Linked DNA regions of Saccharomyces cerevisiae S288C. Each later gene encodes a partner of the first gene's protein in a complex. Each region holds a gene or a part of one and is shown in the gene's direction. Other genes may lie near its edges.

Region 1 (2,606 bases):
ACAAATACTACCTTTTATCCTGCTCTTCCTGCTCTCAGATATTAATGCCGAATTGTTTCATCTTGTCTGTGTAGAAGACCACACACGAAAATCCTGTGATTTTTCATTTTACTTATCATTAATCGAATGTATATCTATTTAATCTGCTTTTCTTGTCTAATAAATATATATGTAAAGTACGCTTTTTGTTGAAATTTTTTAAACCTTTGTTTATTTTTTTTTCTTCATTCCGTAACTCTTCTACCTTCTTTATTTACTTTCTAAAATCCAAATACAAAACATAAAAATAAATAAACACAGAGTAAATTCCCAAATTATTCCATCATTAAAAAATACGAGGCGCGTGTAAGTTACAGACAAGCGATCCCTATTCCATGCAAGTTCGGTAAGTAGCAGAAATAATCAAACTGTTTAAACCCAATTAAAATTAAATTAAATACCCTTTATATGTTTATAATTGTACATATTTCTCCTAAACCCGCTATAATACACTCATATTTGTAGAAGAAAAACCGGGCAGTTGAATACGAATCCCAAATATTTGCTTGTTGTTACCGTTTTCTTAGAATTAGCTAAATTAACCACCGAAACCGTATAAGGTTCTACCTTGTCTCTTCAAAGCATAAACAACATCCAAAGAAGTAACAGTCTTTCTCTTGGCGTGTTCGGTGTAGGTAACAGAGTCTCTGATGACGGATTCCAAGAAGGATTTCAAGACAGCTCTGACTTCTTCGTAGATCAAACCAGAAATACGCTTGACACCACCTCTTCTAGCTAATCTTCTGATAGCTGGCTTAGTAATACCTTGGATGTTATCTCTTAGAATCTTTCTGTGACGCTTGGCACCACCTTTACCTAGACCTTTACCACCTTTACCTCTACCGGACATATTTTACTATATTATATTTGTTGCTTGTTTTTGTTTGTTGCTTTAGTACTATAGAGTACAATAATGCGACGGAAACCATCATATAGAAAAAATATCTCGGTATTTATAGGAAAAAGAATTAGACCTTTTCCACAACCAATTTATCCATCAAATTGGTCTTTACCCAATGAATGGGGAAGGGGGGGTGGCAATTTACCACCGTATTCGCGGGCATTTGCTAAAGTAAACAACTTCGGTTTTTACCACTAACCATTATGGGGAGAAGCGCTCGGAACAGTTTTACTATGTGAAGATGCGAAGTTTTCAGAACGCGGTTTCCAAATTCGGCGGGGAGATACAAAAAAGATTTTTGCTCTCGTTCTCACATTTTCGCATTGTCCCATACATTATCGTTCTCACAATTTCTCACATTTCCTTGCTCTGCACCTTTGCGATCCTGGCCGTAATATCTCTCCTTGACTTTTAGCGTGGAAGATAACGAAATGCCCGGGCGATTTTTCTTTTTGGTACCCTCCACGGCTCCTTGTTGAAATACATATATAAAAGACTGTGTATTCTTCGGGATACATCTCTTTCCTCAACCTTTTATATTCTTTCTTTCTAGTTAATAAGAAAAACATCTAACATAAATATATAAACGCAAACAATGGCCAGAACAAAGCAAACAGCAAGAAAGTCCACTGGTGGTAAGGCCCCAAGAAAGCAATTAGCTTCTAAGGCTGCCAGAAAATCCGCCCCATCTACCGGTGGTGTTAAGAAGCCTCACAGATATAAGCCAGGTACTGTTGCTTTGAGAGAAATCAGAAGATTCCAAAAATCTACTGAACTGTTGATCAGAAAGTTGCCTTTCCAAAGATTGGTCAGAGAAATCGCTCAAGATTTCAAGACCGACTTGAGATTTCAATCTTCTGCCATCGGTGCCTTGCAAGAATCTGTCGAAGCCTACTTAGTCTCTTTATTTGAAGATACCAACTTGGCTGCCATTCACGCCAAGCGTGTCACTATCCAAAAGAAGGATATCAAGTTGGCTAGAAGATTAAGAGGTGAAAGATCATAGTTTGTTGATTGTCATCAGTTTTAGTAAAAAACGAACAAAAACACAATAAAATATAAATCAATATATTTAGGTTTACTGGGTTCTTTAACAGTTGTATAATAGTTATTTTTTATTACAAAAATATAGGTTTTAATAAAAAAAAATAGGGTTCTATTTGTTTTACATTTATTGATTTGTTTTTCCTGGCGATACCCTCGAAAAAAGCCAGGCCTTGTAGGAGGCAAGATTTATGGCTTTCCATGTGGTTAAAGAAAAATTGCAGCAGGAAGATATTCATTCATGAGTCAGTTATATAATCGATATATAGCTACATATTAAACAACTTGAAGCCGCATACGTGGTAGGTGTCTCATTTTCAATTCAAAATATTTTAAACAGAACCGGAGATGAAGAACCACTTGTCAATAGACTTGTCAATTGGAGCATCTGCCTTTGGAGAAGCTGGTGGGATGGCATCAGAGGCAGCCTTGGAGTAGGTTGGGGTGTCAGGCAAAGTAACATTGGTCAAATCAATACCCTTGCTGTCAGAAGACTTACCAGCAATTAATTGTTTCCAGGAGTCATGTGTTTCCTTGATGATATCCAAAGCGTACTTCTTGTTCTTAGCTTCACCGGAGAAGGCAAATTGGTTTTCTGGCTTACCATCTGGGATTTTGTAAA
Region 2 (3,760 bases), on another chromosome or scaffold:
CACTTGGCCAAGAAAACCCATCTCTCTCGACAGGAGGGTTTAAAGTGTATGGAGAGGTAGGTCTAATGTTTAACGGGGTTTCATGTCTTTCTATCTCTTGCACTAATTGGATGTTATGCATTTTGGGATGATTGAAAGTATTGGTTCTAACAAAAAATGAGTCACGCACGCACAATCACGATTGAGGATGGAGTCGTATAATATTTTATGAACGGATGCTATATCGATCAGACGGTTGGCACCGTAAAAATAAATGAAAGAAGTTAAAGAAGGGCAAATCAGTCGGATTATGTGATAAGTATGTAATAGACATGTTTGAAAATTAGGAGCATTAAAATATGCTTTTCATCCTACAGTTGTTCGGTCTTTTTTCTTTTCGGTGAGCGACACAGCTTTTCTACTAAGGCCGTACCGGGTCATCCAAATCCTAAATTTTCATGCGCTAATAGCGTTGAGGCTGGGTGATAATTCTGCCTACACCATGACAAAGAGGACATATATCTTCGTCCAACAGGAATCTGGTGCGTCCGGACCCTCTGCATTCACCACATAGCACGCCACCCAGGCGAGGATCCCCTGGTTGAACGTACAAGGGCCTATTACCCTGCCATGCGTTGGTGTACACGGGCATTGTATAGTTTGTGTAATATGTCGGTGCAGAAACAACGTTATTTTGAGGTGCAAACCTCCTCCAACACGACTTGCAAGATCGTCCATTCTTCAACTTGTAACCCGTATTTCCACACTTGGAACAGTAAAACCTGGGAGGGTATGTCCAGGGCAAGCTAGGATTCTGTTGTGGCCTCGGTGGAGGCCGTGGTTGGGAACTTGTAGGCGTATAAGAGTGTGAGTGAGCATATGTTTGGGATGAGGACGTTGCTGGCATTGTCGAGGGCCTTTGGTGGGGTCTTGATTGGTGCCCTTGCGCCAAGTTAGCTGCTGGTCTTGGTGGTCGTGGCGGTTGAGATTGCAATCTCTCCTCTTCCTTGATTACGTCCTCGTAGCTCGGCAGTTCATCATCATGCGTGTCTTTAGACATAACAGTATGGTTTATACTCGTTTTATGGGTATTTTTTGGGACTGCTTAGTTCTTGACTTGAAGCCTCTTTATTCCCTTGATGGAAGTGTCACTATTAAAGATGGAGGCGGAGGCTATACCGTAGAAAATGATATGTTTGTATGTTCTGCTCTCTTCCCTCTATTAAAAGGGGGAAAGAGAAAAATAAATGGAAAAAAGCGATTAAGCCATAGGGAAAACACTCTTGTGGTGGCAAAGCATCAGATAGGCAGGCAGGAGGAAATGGCAGTGAAGTGTCAAACCAAGCATACTTTCACTGGATTGATTTGAAAGTTAATGCTGAGTTTGAGATGTTTTAAAGAGGAACTGTGGTGATCGGTTATTTCTATTCGCTTTTGTGTGCGTCTTTTCATCGTTTGCAGCTGAACTTGTTGAGGCATTAGCCGCTGAGGAATTTTTTTCTGCCTCTATAAACTTGTTTATTATCACTAAAAACGTACCGTCTGTTATTTTGTACGGCCATGTGTGCGAAAAAGGACAAAGTGGTAGCGAAAGAGCAATATTGGGACGAAAAGGAGCAGAAAAGGAACTGCGTAGGGTCTTAAATAAAGCAAAACGTCTGAAGGATCTTGCGTACTCCTTACTAACCCATTGTTGTTTTCGACAGTCATAAAAAGAAGTTACCACGGTCTATTTCTCTCTTCTCGCTATTTATTCACAATTGGTGCAGAAAGAACATGGCACGAAATTTAAGGAATAGACGCGGTAGCGACGTTGAAGATGCAAGCAACGCAAAGGTTGGGTATGAAACACAGATTAAAGACGAAAATGGCATAATCCATACAACAACTCGCTCTTTGAGAAAAATAAACTACGCAGAAATTGAGAAAGTGTTTGATTTTTTGGAAGATGACCAGGTCATGGACAAAGATGAGACGCCCGTTGATGTTACTAGTGATGAACATCATAACAACAACCAGAAAGGCGATGATGAAGACGATGATGTTGATCTTGTATCACCGCACGAAAACGCCAGAACGAACGAAGAGCTTACTAATGAAAGGAACTTGAGAAAAAGAAAAGCGCATGATCCAGAAGAAGATGACGAAAGTTTTCATGAGGAAGATGTCGACGATGATGAAGAGGAGGAAGAAGCAGACGAATTTGAAGATGAGTATTTGGATGAAGACTCGAAGGATAACAACCGTCGGCGCAGAGCGGCCGATAGGAAATTTGTAGTACCAGACCCTGATGACGATGAAGAATACGATGAGGATGACGAAGAAGGAGACAGAATAAGCCATTCGGCTTCTTCTAAACGTTTGAAAAGGGCAAATTCTCGAAGAACAAGATCGTCACGTCACCCAGAAACTCCACCACCGGTAAGAAGAGCTTTAAGAAGTAGGACAAGACATTCGCGTACTTCAAATGAAGAAAATGACGATGAGAATGATAATAGCAGGAATGAAGCGTTAACTTTAGCTGATGAAATTAGAGAGTTACAGGAAGATAGTCCTATCAGGGAAAAAAGATTTCTTCGCGAAAGAACTAAGCCGGTAAATTACAAATTACCACCACCACTAACTGCTAGCAACGCAGAAGAATTTATAGATAAGAATAACAATGCACTTTCTTTTCATAACCCATCACCTGCACGGCGTGGTCGCGGTGGTTGGAATGCTAGTCAAAATTCTGGTCCCACAAGAAGGCTTTTTCCCACTGGTGGACCTTTTGGTGGCAATGACGTAACTACAATATTTGGTAAGAATACTAATTTTTACAACCAAGTCCCATCTGCATTCAGTGATAATAACAACAATAAATTAATACTGGATTCAGACTCTTCCGATGATGAGATATTACCTCTTGGCGTGACACCGAAAACAAAGAAAGAGAACACGCAAAAAAAGAAGAAGAAAAAACCAGAAATTGCAGACCTCGATCCATTAGGCGTAGACATGAATGTAAATTTTGACGATATAGGTGGTTTAGACAACTACATTGACCAATTAAAGGAAATGGTGGCCTTACCACTATTATACCCAGAATTGTATCAAAATTTTAATATCACGCCCCCAAGGGGTGTTCTTTTCCATGGTCCTCCTGGTACGGGTAAAACACTTATGGCAAGAGCGTTAGCAGCAAGTTGTTCTTCTGATGAAAGGAAGATCACATTTTTTATGCGTAAAGGTGCAGATATTTTATCCAAGTGGGTTGGTGAAGCTGAAAGACAACTCCGTTTGTTATTCGAAGAAGCTAAAAAACATCAACCTTCCATCATTTTTTTTGATGAAATCGACGGATTAGCGCCTGTGAGAAGTTCCAAACAAGAACAGATCCATGCTAGTATTGTTTCCACATTATTAGCGCTGATGGATGGTATGGACAATAGAGGCCAAGTCATTGTCATCGGAGCCACAAATCGACCCGATGCAGTGGATCCCGCATTAAGAAGGCCGGGAAGATTTGATAGAGAATTTTATTTTCCATTACCTGATGTTAAAGCACGTTTTAAAATTTTGCAAATTCAGACCAGGAAATGGAGTTCACCGTTGTCAACCAACTTCATTGATAAATTGGCTTTTTTGACCAAAGGATATGGTGGTGCTGATCTGAGGTCCCTATGCACTGAGGCTGCACTAATAAGTATACAAAGAAGCTTTCCTCAAATTTATAGGTCAAATGATAAACTCTTGGTGGACCCTTCTAAGATTAAAGTCAAAGTTAGCGATTTCATGTTAG

Evidence for each region.
Region 2: the proteins of HHT1 (region 1) and YTA7 are in contact, whole or in part, in a cryo-EM structure (PDB 7UQJ), measured with the Saccharomyces cerevisiae proteins. Residues at the interface, in NP_009564.1 of Saccharomyces cerevisiae: Lys10 (codon at 1,563), Thr12 (codon at 1,569), Gly13 (codon at 1,572), Lys15 (codon at 1,578), Ala16 (codon at 1,581), Pro17 (codon at 1,584); in NP_011786.1 of Saccharomyces cerevisiae: Ser490 (codon at 3,223), Lys491 (codon at 3,226), Trp492 (codon at 3,229), Val493 (codon at 3,232), Lys530 (codon at 3,343), Gln531 (codon at 3,346), Glu532 (codon at 3,349), Ile534 (codon at 3,355).

What each region holds. Positions count from the first base shown.
Region 1 is NC_001134.8:254,796-257,401, forward strand, and holds HHT1 (histone H3), read left to right. Parts: upstream 1-1,535; coding exon 1,536-1,946; downstream 1,947-2,606. Other genes in the region: HHF1 (histone H4), read right to left, coding at 578-889; inorganic diphosphatase IPP1, read right to left, coding at 2,317-2,606. UniProt on the Saccharomyces cerevisiae protein: Core component of nucleosome. Nucleosomes wrap and compact DNA into chromatin, limiting DNA accessibility to the cellular machineries which require DNA as a template.
Region 2 is NC_001139.9:1,025,615-1,029,374, forward strand, and holds the start of YTA7 (chromatin segregase YTA7), read left to right. Parts: upstream 1-1,755; coding exon 1,756-3,760. Other genes in the region: FOL2 (GTP cyclohydrolase I), read right to left, coding at 1-121; HUA1 (Hua1p), read right to left, coding at 443-1,039. UniProt on the Saccharomyces cerevisiae protein: Functions as an ATP-dependent nucleosome disassembly factor that helps evict canonical histone H3 from the 5'-end of genes upon their induction.